Linked DNA regions of Arabidopsis thaliana. The main gene of each other region encodes a partner of the protein of the gene in region 2 in a complex. Each region holds a gene or a part of one and is shown on either strand. Other genes may lie near its edges.

Evidence for each region.
Region 1: APK2A (region 2) and ZAR1 share a complex: the UniProt entries of both Arabidopsis thaliana proteins name them as parts of the stable high-order oligomeric complex.

The regions. Positions count from the first base shown.
Region 1 is NC_003074.8:18,933,587-18,941,568, forward strand, and holds ZAR1 (HOPZ-ACTIVATED RESISTANCE 1), read left to right. Parts: upstream 1-2,087; 5' UTR 2,088-2,301; exon of another isoform or gene 2,302-2,529; 5' UTR 2,530-2,540; coding exon 2,541-5,099; 3' UTR 5,100-5,213; downstream 5,214-7,982. Other genes in the region: AT3G50940 (P-loop containing nucleoside triphosphate hydrolases superfamily protein), read left to right, coding at 500-1,486, 1,574-1,942; PLP3a (thioredoxin domain PLP3A-like protein), read right to left, coding at 5,305-5,414, 5,500-5,597, 5,684-5,745, 5,837-5,909, 5,996-6,138, 6,224-6,271, 6,346-6,420, 6,557-6,640; LTI30 (dehydrin family protein), read left to right, coding at 7,239-7,820.
Region 2 is NC_003070.9:4,909,351-4,920,401, reverse strand, and holds APK2A (protein kinase 2A), read right to left. Parts: upstream 4,912-11,051; 5' UTR 4,544-4,911; coding exon 4,477-4,543; exon of another isoform or gene 4,208-4,476; coding exon 3,861-4,207; intron 3,767-3,860; coding exon 3,631-3,766; intron 3,530-3,630; coding exon 3,393-3,529; intron 3,307-3,392; coding exon 3,183-3,306; intron 2,913-3,182; coding exon 2,443-2,912; 3' UTR 2,264-2,442; downstream 1-2,263. Other genes in the region: IQD28 (IQ-domain 28), read left to right, coding at 1-43, 129-317, 407-487, 627-1,995, 2,092-2,123; UTR3 (UDP-galactose transporter 3), read left to right, coding at 7,373-7,476, 7,666-7,763, 7,859-7,989, 8,104-8,134, 8,220-8,323, 8,416-8,537, 8,635-9,040; FLP (Duplicated homeodomain-like superfamily protein), read right to left, coding at 9,755-9,865, 9,951-10,218, 10,298-10,440, 10,536-10,830, 10,926-11,051.

The DNA of each region.
Region 1 (7,982 bases), on a different chromosome or scaffold from region 2:
CATTTTTGCAGCGAGCCAGCGACCAGACTCTAGAAGTCTGTAGGGGCTATCAAGTTTTCATTTTTAACGATACTTTATCAAATGGGCCGTAATCTTGGCCCACTATAGACCATTCATTTAGTGTTCCATCACCATTTAAATAGTAATCTTTCATTCCCTAATTATCTCAATCTTATGATCAGAGGTATTCGTGAAAATTTATTATTGATCGCAGAAGCCTTTCATCAAATAAAAGAGAAGAACTGGTATCAAATTTTCTCCTTAACCTTAACATTTTTTTTTTTTTACTTGTTAAGATTCCAATTTGTGTGCTCATCGTAAAATTATCAAAAGAATAGCATCGTTTGTTTAACCTAATCAGATTTATCCCCACGTAACCTAGTAACAAATACAGTACTATTGTTCTATAATCAGATTTTTTTTTGGATTAGTTTCTTGTCTCTTTGATTTATGAGAACCGACTTGAATGTATTTATTTTATTTTTGATGATTGAAGGAGATGAGTTCCTCTAGTGAATCTCATCTAGCCACCGCCAAAACAGCTCTCACAGCGGTTGCATCAGTTGCTGCAGCCGCAATACTAGCTCGATCAGTGGTTCAAGATTACATGCCAAACGAGGTTCATGAATATATCTCTCACGGCTTTCGCAGATTCTTCAGCTACTTCTCTTATCAGATGACAGCTGTAATAGAAGAATTTGGAGGTTTTGAACACAACCAAGTGTTTGAAGCTGCAGAGGCTTATCTCTCCACCAAGATATCTAATTCCACTAGAAGAATCAAAGTTAACAAACTTGAGAAACAGAGCAATTATAGTGTTACTGTTGAACGTGATGAGGAAGTTGTTGATATTTTTGATGGCGTCAAGCTTAGTTGGATCCTTGTATGTCGCCATGTCGATAAAAAGGATTTTCGTAACCCGAGAGATCTCAACTCCACTTTGAAATCAGAAGTGCGTAGTTACGAGCTTAGTTTCCGAAAGAAGTTCAAGAACATGGTTCTTGAATCTTATTTACCGTTTGTTGTGGAACAAGCTGCTTCTATTAAACAAAAGTTTAAAACATTGAAGATCTTCACCGTTGATTCTTACTCCGTGGAGTGGACCTCTGTGACTCTAGATCATCCTTCCACGTTTCGCACTCTCGCTCTGGATCCCGAGGTGAAGAAAAACTTGGTGGAGGATCTTGATCGATTCGTGCAGCGGAAAGGCTTTTACGGGAGAGTTGGAAAAGCTTGGAAGAGAGGTTATTTGTTGTATGGTCCTCCCGGTACTGGAAAATCAAGCTTGATCGCAGCTATAGCTAATCATCTTAACTTCGATATCTATGACTTAGACTTGACATCACTTAACAACAATGCTGAGCTACGGAGGTTACTTATGTCTACTGCAAATCGTTCCATTCTAGTTGTGGAAGATATAGATTGTTCAATCGAGTTAAAAGATCGGTCTACTGATCAAGAAAACAACGATCCGTTACATAAAACGGTGATGCATTTTGATTCACTATCAGTTATGTTGTTATGTGATCTTTTGCTTATTAGCATTACTAATGTTTTGGTTAGTCATTTTCAGGTCACACTCTCTGGTCTATTGAATTTTGTAGACGGACTATGGTCAAGTTGTGGTAACGAGCGGATTATAGTGTTTACGACTAACTACAGAGAAAAATTGGATCCAGCATTGTTGAGGCCAGGACGTATGGACATGCACATTCACATGTCGTATTGCACACCAGCTGCTTTTAAGGTTTTGGCTTCGAATTATCTCGAGATTCAAGATCATATACTTTTCGAGCAGATTGAAGAATTTATCCGAGAAATTGAAGTTACACCAGCAGAAGTAGCTGAACAACTGATGAGGAGTGACTCTGTGGATAAAGTACTCCAAGGACTTGTTGAGTTCTTAAAAGCCAAGAAGCAAATAGATAATTCAAAAGCTTAGAAGAAATTTAGTTCTTTTATTTGTTTCTTTGTTAAACACTATCATGCAATTATTGGTTATAAAATGTTACAGAAAGTGAAATCATTTTTTTTTTTCCTAAGTGAAATGCGGATATTGTTTTATGAGGTCAGAACATGTCTAAACTCAATGATAAGATTCTAAAGTAGATTGAGACAAGTTTCGTAGTCGGCAGCAGTAACCAAGAAAACGAGTAAGGTTGACTCTTGACTTGTTAAACCATTGACTTCAATTTCGATAAAGTCTCTATGTAAGCTCATTTTTCTGAAACAAGTTTTGCTAAAAAAATCCAAAGATCTGAAGCTTCAGATCCTTCTCGGCTAAGGCTAAGTCACAACCTTGTAAGTTTACTTTACTTTGGTTAGATTTGTTTCAATGTTCTAGGATTCTACATGTTTCTTGAGAAGATATGGATTAGTTAAAGAATAATCCAATCTTTTGGTTATTGAGATTCTATAGTCGTTGGTTGATTGATTTTTGGAAAGTTCAATCTAGTGATGATACACATAACCGATTGAATTATTGCTTGGTTATAGTTTACCAATTAGAGATATTTCTTGAAGTTGCAGGGTCTGAGTAAATGGTGGACGCTGTTGTAACAGTGTTTTTAGAGAAAACCTTGAACATCCTCGAAGAAAAAGGCCGAACCGTATCGGACTACCGAAAACAGTTGGAAGATTTGCAAAGCGAATTGAAATATATGCAGTCTTTTCTCAAGGATGCAGAGAGGCAGAAGAGAACTAATGAAACGTTGCGTACTCTTGTTGCGGATTTACGAGAACTGGTTTACGAAGCTGAGGATATACTTGTGGATTGTCAGCTCGCGGATGGTGATGATGGGAACGAGCAAAGGTCATCAAATGCGTGGCTTTCGCGGCTTCATCCTGCCCGGGTTCCGTTGCAGTACAAGAAAAGCAAACGTTTGCAAGAGATCAATGAGAGGATAACGAAAATAAAGAGTCAAGTAGAGCCTTATTTCGAATTCATAACGCCGAGTAATGTTGGAAGAGATAATGGAACTGATCGGTGGAGCTCTCCGGTGTATGATCATACTCAGGTGGTTGGTTTGGAAGGAGATAAAAGAAAAATCAAGGAGTGGCTCTTTCGATCAAACGACAGCCAGCTTTTGATAATGGCCTTTGTTGGGATGGGAGGGCTAGGTAAAACTACAATCGCTCAAGAAGTGTTCAATGACAAAGAGATCGAACATCGTTTCGAAAGAAGGATATGGGTGTCTGTGTCCCAGACTTTTACTGAAGAACAGATCATGAGAAGCATATTGAGGAACTTGGGGGACGCGAGTGTTGGAGATGATATTGGAACATTGCTGAGAAAAATCCAGCAGTATCTTTTGGGGAAAAGGTACTTGATAGTTATGGACGATGTATGGGACAAGAATTTGAGCTGGTGGGACAAGATCTACCAAGGACTGCCTAGAGGACAAGGAGGTAGCGTTATCGTGACCACAAGGTCGGAATCTGTAGCGAAAAGGGTGCAAGCGAGAGACGACAAGACTCACCGTCCAGAGCTCCTTAGTCCTGATAACAGTTGGCTGCTGTTTTGTAATGTGGCATTTGCAGCAAATGACGGTACTTGTGAGCGTCCCGAGCTAGAGGATGTTGGCAAGGAGATTGTAACGAAATGCAAAGGTTTGCCTTTGACAATCAAAGCGGTTGGTGGGTTACTTCTGTGCAAAGACCATGTCTATCATGAATGGAGACGAATTGCAGAGCATTTTCAGGATGAGCTAAGAGGAAACACTTCTGAAACTGACAATGTTATGTCTTCTCTGCAGTTGAGCTACGATGAACTCCCTTCCCACCTTAAGTCGTGCATTCTCACGCTTTCGCTCTATCCAGAAGACTGTGTTATACCAAAACAACAACTAGTACATGGATGGATCGGAGAAGGTTTTGTCATGTGGAGAAACGGAAGATCTGCAACTGAATCTGGAGAAGACTGCTTTTCCGGGCTCACAAACAGGTGTCTAATAGAAGTTGTAGACAAAACCTATAGCGGAACCATCATCACTTGCAAGATTCATGACATGGTTCGTGATTTGGTGATCGATATAGCCAAGAAGGATTCGTTCTCTAACCCGGAAGGCCTCAACTGTCGTCACCTTGGGATTAGTGGAAACTTTGATGAGAAGCAGATCAAAGTTAACCATAAGCTGAGAGGCGTAGTGTCAACAACTAAGACAGGTGAAGTGAACAAGCTCAACTCAGACTTAGCTAAGAAATTCACAGACTGCAAATATCTTCGGGTTCTCGATATCTCGAAATCCATATTTGATGCTCCTCTGTCTGAGATTTTGGATGAGATTGCAAGCCTTCAACACTTAGCATGTCTTAGTTTGAGCAACACACATCCGTTGATCCAGTTTCCTCGTTCCATGGAAGATCTCCACAACCTTCAGATTCTAGACGCAAGCTACTGTCAGAATCTGAAACAACTTCAACCTTGCATCGTCTTGTTCAAGAAACTCCTTGTACTTGACATGACGAACTGTGGATCCCTTGAATGCTTCCCCAAGGGTATCGGAAGTCTCGTGAAGCTCGAAGTTCTGTTGGGATTTAAGCCAGCCAGGTCCAACAATGGGTGCAAGCTCAGTGAAGTGAAAAATCTCACAAACCTTCGGAAACTTGGTCTTTCTCTGACTCGTGGCGATCAGATAGAAGAGGAGGAGCTTGATTCTTTGATAAACCTAAGCAAGCTGATGTCCATTTCGATCAACTGCTATGATAGCTACGGCGATGATCTCATAACCAAAATAGACGCCCTTACTCCTCCACACCAGCTCCATGAGCTTTCTCTACAATTCTATCCTGGAAAGTCGAGTCCATCGTGGTTGAGTCCTCACAAGCTTCCGATGTTGAGGTACATGTCAATATGTTCAGGTAATTTGGTGAAAATGCAGGAACCATTCTGGGGAAACGAGAATACTCACTGGAGAATTGAAGGTTTAATGTTAAGTTCATTGTCGGACCTAGACATGGACTGGGAAGTGCTGCAACAGTCAATGCCGTACCTGAGGACCGTGACCGCAAACTGGTGTCCAGAGCTAGAGTCTTTCGCGATTGAAGATGTTGGCTTTAGAGGCGGAGTGTGGATGAAAACACCATTGCACAGAACCTGATGAAACGTTTTAAGCAACTAGATCAATGTTTATTAAACAGTGACAATAAGTTGGTGTATTACATATACCTTGATACAATGTAATGTTGCTTTGACCGTTTGGATTTCATATCGCAATTTTCTTTTCTAATAATCATATAACAAACGAGCAAAAAGGGAAAACAGAGACTAGCAGCAATGGCAGATCTTTGATGTCAACTGCTTGATCAGTCAGAATCAGAGTCCAGATTCTCTGAAGACCTAACAGACCTCCGTATGCTCTCTTGATATTCGGCGTCTTCATCATCTTCCTCTTTCTTCTTCTTGCTGAGCATTCCTGTTAAAGATTTGCACTCTTTAAGCAAAAATTCTCTAACTGGGCCGTTATAATAAAAAAAAGGTGGGACCGAGGTTCTTCATACCCTTTTTAAGAAGAACGTTCTCTAGTTTATTCGTTGTGAAATCGTCCTTGGTTCCCAGATCCTGGAACCCAACTAGCCTATCCATCGCAACTCCCTTGCTAAGAATGGTAAAGAAACTCGTACTTTATGAGTATACACCTAACAACAAACCCTGTATGTAAGAAGGAATAGAAAGAGGCGAAACCTGAAAAGCACAACGCAAGGCAAAGTCTTTATTGCAAGCTTCGTGACAAAGAAAGGAGCATTCTGCATTTATTTCAGCCAAGCATTAGCTTCAGCAAAGGATTGTTGAAAAGCCATTTCCTCTTATAAAACTTTCATCAAATGGTTCACTAACCTCTGCGTCCACTTTAATGAACTTTGTGTCCACATGTCTAGGTGCAAGAGTTTTCAGATGCTTGTCCATAATCCTACAGTAATGCAGTAAATATGTTTGGTTATGAGCTCATATACATATCAGAAGACGAACAAAAAATAAGCTGATGAGAGATCTTACTTGCACCGGTAAAATTCCTTATGGTAGAAATGACATATCACTTTCTCACTCCTGGTGACTTCACCCAAGAAATCTCCTTCACTCACCTCTCGATATTCACCATGCCCTTGTCTTTTAAACGATTCTCTCTTCTCAACCTCTCTCTGTCAAGATAAAATCTTGAAGATTTTAGTTCATACCAAAAGCTGCATAACTATATAGGCCACAATACAATGCCAAAGTTATAACCTTTAGTGCTGCAATCCTATCTGCGTGCAATCTTTCTAGCTCTGGATCCTACAGAACATAGACAAATAAGTCTACCATAGAGACCTACGCTTAACAGTCACAACAAGCAACATTGCACTTACATCCATAAGTTCATCAAGATCAACCTCTTCATTAACAGGATTTGATCCTTGCGCCTTCTCATTTGCAAGAACTTCCTACAAAACCCATATAAAGAACTCATCAAAACCATACAAGTAAGTCCTCACAGGTAATCTACTCAGACAAAGAAACATCAAAAAAACTCATAAAGTCTATCACTATTTCAAAAACAAATTGAGAAACATTCTTTACCTTTTGATAATTTCTTGCAGCAGCCGCCATTACATTTCCAAATGCTAGATTCGAGAGAGTCGATTTGACTGCATCTGGATCCATCTTTTAACACCAAAAATCTGAAACAACAGCATGAAAAAAGCATTAGGATTCAGAGATAAATGAGAGCTAAAGCTTCAAAATCATACCTTTTTCAATTCCTTCCTGATGCGAAGAAGAAAAATAAAAAAACACAGCTTGAGAAATCGAAATCAAAGCTTTTTTCCTTTCTTTACTAACAATTTCAAAAAATCAAAAGATGAACAACAAAGGTGGAAGAAACATACCAAACGACATCGTTTTTTAGTTTAGTAAAAGATATGCATTATTGGGCCTTTCATATCTAAAGGCCCACAGGCCCATATAAGTTAAAATTACGTCGGTCGCTAACCACTACTACACCGACGTCTTACTTGCCATGTGTGTGTGACTCTTAATCAATTACGAATTGAATATATTACTTTTACGATGTCGGCCAACACGTATTGAGTAAAATATCTATGTGATGATGAATTCCTATCCAAAATGAAATTTGCATCTCTATAAAAGTATCATTCAAGAGATCATTAATCTTCATCGATCAAAGTCTTGAATATTTCATCTATATATACCTAAGAAAGAAAAGAGTTAAAGAAGTATATTTTCGATTCAAAGAAGAAAAATGAATTCTCACCAGAATCAAACCGGAGTGCAAAAGAAGGGAATAACGGAGAAAATCATGGAGAAGCTACCAGGTCATCATGGACCTACTAACACTGGTGTTGTTCACCACGAGAAGAAAGGGATGACGGAGAAAGTTATGGAGCAGCTGCCAGGTCATCATGGTGCTACTGGTACCGGTGGTGTTCACCACGAGAAGAAAGGAATGACGGAAAAAGTTATGGAGCAGCTGCCAGGTCATCATGGATCACACCAAACTGGAACCAACACAACTTATGGTACTACTAACACTGGTGGTGTTCACCACGAGAAAAAAAGTGTGACCGAAAAAGTTATGGAGAAACTACCAGGTCATCATGGGTCACATCAAACTGGGACTAACACGGCTTATGGTACTAACACTAATGTCGTTCACCATGAGAAAAAAGGTATAGCAGAAAAGATTAAAGAGCAACTGCCAGGTCATCATGGAACTCACAAAACTGGAACCACCACAAGTTATGGTAATACTGGCGTTGTTCACCATGAAAATAAAAGTACGATGGATAAGATTAAAGAGAAGCTTCCCGGTGGTCATCACTAGATTGATTAACAACTTGTTTAAGCTTATTTTAAGTATTTGTGTGGTGTAATAATATGATGATGTGGCTTTCTTTCATTGAGTCGCTAAATAATATATGTAAGTGATGGATCTTTGAATTAATATAAAATATCTACTTCTGGTTTCGTTTATTTATCTTTCTAT
Region 2 (11,051 bases):
ACAAGCTGCAATTAAGGTTCAAGCTACCTTCAGAGCTCATCAGGTACTTATTCTTTGCCATAACAAAGACAAATCTACGTGAATAGAGTTGGTAGTGTTAATGATGTTTTTTTATTCATCTACTGAAGGCACGTAGAGCATTTCGAACTCTTAAAGGTATCATCAGGCTGCAGGCAGTTATCCGTGGTCACTTGGTGAGAAGACAAGCCATTGCTACATATTCATGTATATGGGGAATTGTGAAGTTTCAGGCTCTTGTTCGTGGCCAGAAAGCTAGATCTTCAGATATTGCGATTCAGTTTCAGAAAAAACATATGGTAGAGACTCTTTATCACGCCTTCATTACATAGTTGGCTGATTTTGTAGGCTTGTTATAATCAAGCTGCAATTTTCTTTCTTCTATTAGGAAGCAAGTGATTCAGAAGTTTTGCAATCGAGCACGTGTAGTTGGATGGATAATCCCACAAAGTTCGTCTTTGTTGATAAGGTATCTTTAACTTATGTTTCATGGTTCTTGGTGGAATAATAATTTCCATAACTCCTGCTCAGTAAACCCGGATTTACCAATCTTGCAACACAACATTGGCTTTTCTGGTTTGTAACTTATTATTTCTCTGGCTTTTCAGCTTCTAGCTTCTTCACCAACTGCATTGCCTCTGAAGATCCAGTATGGTCCTGAGGAACCTAACTCAGCCAAGGTTTGGCTTGAACGCTGGACACAATTACAAGTTTGGTCTTCTGGTTCACGAGTACCTAGGATTGAGATTCCAAAATCTCAGTCAAAGAAGCGAAACTACCAAGCAGTGGTTGAAGCAGAAAAGAAAAGGCCAAAGCGAAGTATCAAGAAACCATCTGGCACAACTAGTGGAACTGGCCCTAGCCGTTTTACAGCTGAAAGAAATAAACCTAAACGAAATGTGAGGAAGGCTTCCACGCTTAGTAAAGATCCCCTGAGAAATGAGAGTGACAAAGCAAATCACAATTCGAGAAAAAGTAGAAGCGGCTCAAAGGAGGGGTCGCCTTTGGAGATTAAAGATGAGAAGCCCAGTCCTAGTCTCAAAAGGTCTTCTCTTTCGAACGGGTCAAAGAAAGCCACCCTTAGATCTGCTGAGAAGAAGAAGAAAGATATTCCAGATTCTTCTGTGCAAATACAGCCTGAAGGGAAAGTTTCAGAGAATGTTCTTGAAGGAGGAGACAATATTGAGTTTGCTGAAAAGGAGAAAGATACTACAGATTCTGTGCAGATAGAGTCTGAAGGGAAGGTTTCAGGGAATGTTCTTGAAGGAGGAGAAGGAGAAAATATTGTGTTTACTGAAAAGGAGAAAGATACTGCAGATCCTGTGCAGATAGAGCCTGAAAGGAAGGTTCTTGAAGAAGGAGACAATATCGAGTCTTCTGGAAAAGAAAAAGATACTGGAGATTCTGTGCAGATAGAGTCTGAAGGAAAGGTTCTTGAAGGAGGAGACAATATTGAATTTGGTGAAAAAGAGAAAGATAAAGCTGATGCAGTTCCCATCGAATTTGATATTGTAAAAGATGAGAAGTCACCAGTTTTGGATAGGACGGAGGAAGATGAACTGAAAACTGCAGAGACCAGTGACAAAGCCGAAGCCCTTAAATGTGCAGATGTGAAGGTAAGCTCTGAGAATGGTAATGTTGGTTCTGATAACACAAAGCAAAGTGAAAAACGAGCATTGCTGCCTGCAAATATTGACAAACAAGATGATGGGCTTACCCTTAGCGGACGGAAAATCCCCAGCTACATGGCCCCGACTGCATCTGCAAAGGCCAGAGTCAAAGGAGAAGCCTCTCCGAGGTTTGCCCAAGCGAAGACTGAGATAAATGGGGCATTACGGCGCCATTCACTGCCTTCTCCAGCCAATGGTAAGCTGAGTACTACTACTATGTCTCCAAGGGCTCAAAAACTTCTCTTAGCCTCTGCCAAAGGATCTATGAACGGCGACAAATCTTTTACTTCTTCCAAGGACATAACTCGTAAGCAAGACTCAAATTTACAGAATTCTTATAAAAGTATTGAAGCTTTACTCAGATAAATAACCTTTTAACCCATATCTTTCTTGATTGTTTCAGACAAGTCAACCAGAACCGACTGGAAACGGTGAAGGCTCAGGCAAAAGAGAGTGTCATCTACTCATCTTACATGGTCGAATTCAATTACTTAGTGTGTTTCCTCTGCATTTTGGTTTGGTTTGGTGAGTTTAGAGAGTGTTTGGTCAGTGTTCATGTCTAGTCTATTACATCATTTTCATATCTTGCTTCAATTTACTCTGATATGTTTGAAGACACAAAATAGTTGAAGTAAATAGTTAATCTCTGTATAAACCTTTGCAATCACTCCTCTCTAATTACACAGACAAGCCTGCATTTTTACATATAGTACACATACAAGCATAAAGCACGATCTGTTTTCTTAAATGTGTTTCATCTTACACGAGGAGATTGAGTGTAAGAAGGTAAAGGCGATGCACCAGGAGTCATGTGCAGCAGAGGCCGATCATGACTATATCTTACCGGAGATTTCTGCATAACAGAAGAATGATGAAATCTTGGAGATTCCATTTGGGTGTGTTTGGTTCCAGGTTTAGCAACGGATTCTAGCTGTTCTAATGTGACTAAAACCTCTGACATTTTTGGCCGGAGTTTTGCATCGGGATTTAAGCATTGCAATGCAAGATTAGCAGCTGTGAAAGCTCCCTTTTGTGGATATTGACCCCCTAGTTTCGTGTCCATTATGCGAAAAAGCTTTCGCTTATCGCCAAGGTACGGTGTTGCCCAATCTACAAGACTATACTCGTTTCCTCCATTCGAATTGTCCATGGCACGCCGTCCTGATATTAGTTCTAGTAGCACGACCCCGAAGCTGTACACATCACTCTTTGCGGTTAATCTACCTGCAGTGGATGAAGATGAGGTTTAGATGAGTTCTTAGAGAAAACAAAAACAATCTAAAGGTCAAAGATTTTTGGTTAATGTCAAAGCTCTTGACGAGTTCTTGGAGAAAGATAAAGCGTTTCGAGATTAATAAGTCAAAGGTTTTGAAACATTCTTGGAAAAAGCTTGTGAAGTTGTCTTACACAGAAACTGATAAAACCTTATTGAGACCATAGATGGGCTCGTGGTATTGTCTAGTTTATTACCGCGTATGTAAGTTTAGAACAAACCTGTGGCAACATATTCAGGAGCTGCATATCCATGAGTACCAATGACCTTTGTTGACACATGTGTATTATCACCAGTAGGACCTGCTTTTGCCAATCCGAAATCTGAAAGCTTAGCATTGAAGTCCTGCATTTAGACACAGTTTCAAACAGTTAGGAATCAGAAGCAAATCCCGAAAGTGGTTATAGAGAGTATATGCTCGGGTTTATTACAGCGTCGAGTAGAATGTTAGCAGCTTTAAAGTCTCTGTATATCACTTGTGACTTTGCTTCATGAAGAAAAGTTAGCCCTTTAGCTGCACCTACCGCCACTTTCATCCTTATTGCCCATGTAAGTGGCTGCGCCCCACCTGCAAGTAACATTGACCGGATGATTATAAGAAAACTGAAAAACAAAGAAACATGTAAGATTCTTCTTGAATTCAAGATTGTTGAGTTGCTGAAAACATACGTCTAAAAAGATGATTCTCCAAGCTTCCTTTTGGCATGAATTCATATACAAGAAGCCGGTTTTCGCCTTCCGCGCAATACCCAACTAGTAATACAAGATTTGGGTGACTAAGTTGACCAAGATAGTTTACTTCAGTCTGAAAAAAAAAAAAAAAACAATATCTCAAAATGTCAGCAAACACACACTCATTAATCACGGTGAACCGAAAAAGGGCGAGAAACCGAACTTACCAACCACTCTTTATGACCTTGAAAACCTTCAGGCTTAAGCTGCTTAACAGCAACAACGATTCCAGAACCGGGACGTGAAGCAGTGAGAGATGTTTGATCAATCCATCCTTTGAATACACAACCGAAACCTCCTTCCCCTAGTAGATTATCTTGACGAAAGTTCTTAGTCGCGTTCTTGAGTTCGTTGAAAGTGAAAGCTTTTAGGTTAGGCGATGAAAGTATCTCTCCTTCTGTCCTAAGTGTTGGTAATGGCCCAAAACTACTATCTGTGCTGTAAGAAGTTGTGCTTAGTCCTGAAGGACCCGTTGAACGGCTTGTCTTGCTTGAAACTTTAGAGCCCGAAGAAGCTATTAAAATGATCATTCAAACATAGTAAAATCTCTTTAGTTTGGTGTGTTTTCAATCAAACTCATGATGCTAAGAACATCAATACAGATACAAACATGGATCAAACACATGTACTAAACAGAGCAATTCAAAAGAGTTTGACTTTTGATGATCCAGAGATGGACAAATTACTTATTCGAAAAACCCATTTTGAGAATAAGAAGAAATATCCAAGAAACTGTAACATAGAACCCAATTAAGCAATAAAGACTTGAGAGGAAATAGTTACCAGAATTAGCATGTGGGCTATGGTTGCTATTATCCACTTTAGCTGATGAATCTAAACAATTACCCATTTCAGATAATAACCCTATATGGAGAGACAAAGCTACTGTTCTTTTCGTGGAACAACGTAACAGATGATCAAGACAAGAAGAGAGCCTCAAGAAGCAAAGACAACAAGCTTCTTCTTTCTTTAATTTCTTTCTATCCTTTCGACTTAACGGCGGCGCAATGTCTGTTTAGCTGAATATGAACGCTAATAGAATAAAAGTATTACAACATGAAAGGAAAATCTATATAAAAAAGAAGGAGAGAAGAAGGAACAAGGAAGGTGAAGAACAGAGGATTTGAAGCAAATAATACAAAGTCGTCGTGTCCTTTTGTTTTGTACTCAAACTCATAACAATTTCTCAAAATGACAAAATGCCCTCGAGTTAGTTCCTTTAGACGGCCATCGGAAAGGACAATTTTAGTAATTTGAGATAGATACGGTAACGTCATGCTCACGGCAGTAAATCCGCGTGGGATAATAAATGGTACGACAACTTTTCAGAGATAACTCATTCATTCATTCAGTAATCGAGTGATAAACTGATAATTTCTAGGAGGATTGGTGGTGGACAAAAAGTCGTGTTTCACATCTAATTTTCAGATTTTATAATGTATCAATCAACGAAAATTTCCAAATTCTTGAGATAAAAAACATTTCAAAAAGTAATCAAAGATATTTATTTTGTTATATTTTAAAGTTAATAATATTACACATATGAGACATGACTTTAAACTTGTCATTTTTCAAACAGAAATGAAATGAAACAAGACTTGCTTGAAAATATTTGTCTCTGTTTCATTTTTACAATGTTTCTTTAGAATTCTTGTTTTCCCATCTCCATCTTTTAAATGTTACAGGGAATTATATTAGATTGTTCAAGTTTTTTTTTTTGGTTAAAGTTAATGGCTCAAGTTATTAGTATTCATGATATTAAATTCATACATGAAACAGCTTATGAATACTTTTTGTTAGTCTGAAATTTAGAATTTAAAAAGAATTAAAAGGAAGTTGTGGTTTTTGTTTGGTGTTTTTTTTAACTAATTATGGTCATGGTTGACGTCTGCTAAGGGACAACAAAGTGGTGGGTCTGGATCGCCCATATCGTTGAAATTTTGATCGATATTTTACAATAATACTTACTATCGTTCAGTCACAATTATTAGCGAGATTCCCCTTCAATCAAGATGTTAAGTGTTTACAACTTTTCTTTGGATGTTATATTTATGTTTAAGAAACTTTTACATACACTTCCAAATTATGAGAGATATCAAAACCTTAGAATAAAATTTGGTATTATGGACGATTTTATCTTTCTGAGACGTATTGGATTTACTATTAGATTATTGTGCATATGGCATGCATGCATTAGATATATATAGTCTTTCTTCGATAAATAAAAGTTTAGTCAATGGATGAATCAATCTTTATGTGTAGATCTTTTGTTGATCAACAGGTGATCAAGATTTAAAGGACCCGAAATTAGTTACGAAGTATTGTGGATTTTTCGCATTCTAGTTGACCAAATGAATAATTAAAGTATGAGATTCAACTCTTAAATAATATTTTTGTAAAATTAAGTTTTGAGTTAAGAGACAACGTTAAACCGTCATAATTTATGTGTGTTATATATATAATCGTCAAACCATGGTAAATAACTAAACGCATAGTAGACAAAAAATTTGTAATCATAGATGTAGACGACGGTAATCATCATTTAGATTTGAATTTTTAATGGAACGTGGTGGCTAACGTCGAATACATTTTTGGTGTATTTCTTAAATATAATATCCCATGCATTGACCCAAGAAACTACTTATTAATCAGTTAATCTATATTCACATTGTTATTGACCGGCAGATCGAAAGAGAGTTCTTTTTTCTTTTGCATATTGCATATCACGTGTGGACAAAAGCCCCATTTGGAATCTTTTATGATATTATATTGTTATGTTACACATTAATTTGTTATCTCACCAAGACTTCTATTTTCATTTTGTATCCGGTAAGAGTCACTCTTTTGAGTTTTGACTTTTGACTCTTCAAAATGTATAATTGGTTCTCCCATGAGGATTAAGTATGTCATATAAATTCCGTTTCCCAATATATATAACTTCTATTTTCATTGAGATATAGTATAATATTATTCGTATAGAAAATTACTCAAATCATAATGAACTATGCATGAGTGCATGCATGTGATACCTTGTTTTAATATAATGGAAATTCGATATTTCAAACTTTTCTCGCTATGTTGACGTTATTGTCACATTTACTTTAAGATATATCATATTTTGTTTTAGTAATCTTAACAATGGGTCATCACTAAATTTTAATCAATTAAATCATGTTGGCAACTTTCCTCCATTTGTGTATATACGCCTTTTTCTTTCATTTTCTTACCACAAGTGATCTTAGATTTGTATGAATTCATCAGTTAGTCAAACTGACATGATTAGCTGTGTGCAAGTTTGCTTAATCAAATTAAGGCCCAAGCTGTAAAAAGAACATCCGTTTACAAGTTCTAGGAAACTGCGTGACGTTTTCATGACAATAAAACGGCACATAGTTCCCATTCCTATCTCAGACATGAATGTGCATATGACTTGGATTCCAGAAATAAATCCACGTCCTATAGCCAATCAGAAGTGTCATGTCAGATTATTAAGCCAATGACACAGTTACACGTGGAAAATCTACGTCTTTCTCGCGCCTCCTACACTCTCTCTAATAACTTTCGTTTCCACTTCAGACCGATCTCATAATTTGATCGCAAAACTGATCAAATAGCGTAAAATTGAAATTCAAATTTTCGCCGGAGCTCCGTCGGATAAAACAATAAGCGACGTGCGGCGATGGAATCTCACGGTTCCGGTCTCCGGCGAGTTCTGTTATTGTCGTTCTGTGTCGCTGGGATCTGGGCAGCTTACATATACCAAGGCATTCTTCAAGAGACCTTGTAAGTAAAACTCGTTAGGGTCGAAATCGATCAATCTTATTTTAGCTCGTTGATTATTTTCTCTCGACATTGCTCGATTCTGTTTGTTCGAGATTGTTTCTATTCTCGGAATCCTGGTTGGTGATGCGTTTGCAATTATTGGAAATTTATAGAAATGTAGCTGATAGAACTCTAACATTTTCGAATTAGGTCGACGAAGAAATTTGGTGAAGATGGGAAGAGATTCGAGCATCTTGCATTTCTGAATTTGGCTCAGAATGTAATCTGCTTGGTTTGGTCTTATATAAGTGAGTAGGGCATCTTCATTGTTTATTCCTTAGAATTATAAGTTTATAACAGACGAATAAATGGAACTGAAGTATTTTTGATTGATTATGAGCAGTGATTAAGCTCTGGTCCAACGGAGGTTCTGGTGGAGCCCCATGGTGGACGTATTGGAGTGCTGGCATTACTAATACCATTGGTCCTGCTATGGGCATTGAAGCTTTAAAGTATATTAGTTACCCAGCTCAGGTAAATTAGGCATTGTTAGTGTAATAAAAACCTCATTTTTCTTGATTATGGTTGATAGTTGAGGTAATAACCTTTCTTGGGAAGTAATATTGATGCAAAACTTGCTTCTTGCAGGTCCTTGCAAAATCTTCCAAAATGATTCCAGGTGAGGTGTCAATTTAGAGCATCAATCCATAATCGCTCTCAACTGCTGCTATGTGTATCTTATATATGTTTTTTCTTTCATGTAGTTATGCTGATGGGCTCCTTAGTTTATGGCATAAGATACACTTTGCCTGAGTATCTTTGCACCTTTCTTGTTGCCGGAGGAGTATCTATGTTTGCCCTTCTTAAGGTAGGCAAATCTGCATTCAGGAACTTTGATCATAATCTTTGTTATACTTTGTCTGTGGAAATGTAGTAAACCGTCTTTGACTTGGTTTACAGACAAGCTCTAAAACCATCAGCAAGCTAGCACATCCCAATGCACCCCTTGGTTACGGGCTTTGCTTCTTAAACCTTGCCTTTGATGGATTCACAAACGCAACCCAGGATTCCATTACCGCAAGGTATGACTCTTGACATTCTGTCAGATACTTAACCCAGTCTGACATCTACAACATGGTCTAGATGTTGGACATTAATCATCGCCATACATGGATACAGGTACCCCAAAACTAACGCATGGGACATAATGCTGGGAATGAATTTATGGGGAACCATATACAACATGGTCTACATGTTTGGATTGCCACATGGGAGCGGATTTGAAGCTGTGCAGTTCTGCAAGCAACACCCTGAGGCAGCATGGGACATTCTTATGTACTGTTTATGCGGTGCAGTAGGCCAAAACTTCATCTTCTTGACAATAAGCAGATTCGGGTCTCTAGCTAACACGACCATAACCACAACCAGGAAGTTTGTAAGCATCGTGGTATCTTCAGTTTTGAGCGGGAATCCGTTATCTTCCAAACAATGGGGATGTGTGTCGATGGTGTTCGGTGGATTGTCTTACCAAATTTACCTGAAATGGAGGAAGCTGCAGAGAATGCAGAAGAAGAAAAAGGCCTGAAGCTGAGATTGGGGATCAAAATATTTAATTCTTCAAGAAAATTGTTTTTGATTTGGAAACTTTTTACTTCCAAATATGTCTGAAAGTTAGAGAGAAGAAAGCTTAGTCCATTAGCAAAATGTAAACTAATGCATTAGAAGAAACTTATATATATCAAACCAAAAGACAAATCATATATTTCCACTCATATATATTTGTCTTAACAATACAACAAACTCTTCCTTCTGAGTTTTTCATTTTTCCTAAAGTTACACTCTGGAAAACTTCTTTATATATATGTGATAGAGATTCTGTACAGAGATGATGAAAACAAATCAAGAAATCTGGGGAAAATGCTCAGATGATGTATCTGAGTAAAGCCCTTAGAGACAAACCAAAGAATTTTTTCTTAAAGACACACTGGTGCCTTCTTTTGTAGATGGCTTCCTTATGTTAAGTAAGAAAAGAAAGAGAAATCTGAATCTGAGTATATGGCAGATTCTTGAGAACATTCTTTGATGGGGCTAGAAAATGTTACCGTTAACATTCTAGGACCAGGAAAGAAACTTAAAAACCTTGAGGGAGGAATGCAGATCATGGCATGCCCGCTTCACAAAAACTTCCAGGCCGATATGGCTGCAAAACCTAATATGAAATCTAAGCAAAAGTGGAAAAAATTACGTCTCCATGGAGACTAAACCGCGGTTTAGGGTATGAGAGAGATGGTTGGTTGGTTTACAAGCTATGGAGAAGGACTCTTTTGCAAGGGGGTGGTTTTGAAGGATTAGCACTTGGACATGGAGATGAGGACTCGATCCCTAGTGTTTTTAGCAGGAAGCTCCTCTCCTACAAAAGCAATCAGTCTTTTAAGACTCATTGTTTTTTCAAAGCCTAAGTATTGTATGATGAACAAAGAAGGTGCGAAGCTTACACTTTCGGAGAACTGTGGACTTGGTATACCGTCTGCCAAAGATCTGAACAATGGCGTGACCTGAATAGGCGAGCTGAACTTTTCTTCGCCTGAGATGGGCATATTCTCATCAGGATTTTTCGGGACGAGCAACTCCTCTCCAACTTGCTTATGTTCTGTCTGAGTATCTGCTGAGAATGGTTGTGTTTTATCACCAGACTGATCCACCATGATGGTTGATCCGGAACTATACTCAGAGCTAGCTGGTGAGTCATGAAGATCAGGTTGCCTAAAGAACATCAAATGAAATGGTTATACAATCAAAACCTTAAGATGAACACAAAATTTTTGTGGTGATGAAAAGCTACCTCCAAGATAATTGATTGTCTTCATAACCACTCCTCAAATCCTCTATAAGGTCCTTAAATTCCTCGATCTTAAAATCTATATCAGGTATTCCATATCTGAATAAATCATTCTCCTTGCCTTTATTCAAGAAGTCCTGAAGAACCTGTATATATGCATACAACAAGAGGTATGTTATTAGTAAGCTTGAAACTTTTCGCTATTTTGATATGCTGCGAAGTTTGTTGTTTTTTGGTTTACCTTCCAAGCATTCTCCATACTCTGTTCTGTGTTGTCTGCATTAACTTTCTGCGCCAAGGAGCTTAAAAGTTCAGCTTGTTGCATCAAAGCTGTCACTTTTGGATCATCCTTCTTAAGAAACATCCCTTCACCATCACTCTCATTCACATTGCTTGTTTGATTCTGTTCTTCCAAGCTATCAATACCAGTGGCATTTCGAGCTAAAACCGAAAATGGAGACCTTATCTGCTGATTCACACATGCCTCGGCCCTTCCATAGTTACTGATCTCTGTGAGATCTAGAATGTGACTTCTCCTGTATAATAACCAACAAACCCCCATGAAATTTGTGAAAAGTGAACACACTCAGGAAACTTAAGTTTATTTGATCAAAAAAGAAACAAAACTTACTTCAATTTCTTAGCAATAGGAGTTTCATTCTCGGATTTTCGCGGTGTACTGATACCGTCTAAGAACAACATTCTTTTGGTGTTTGAGTTGCTGTCTTTAGTCATAGCTTCATGCTTGGCTCTCTTC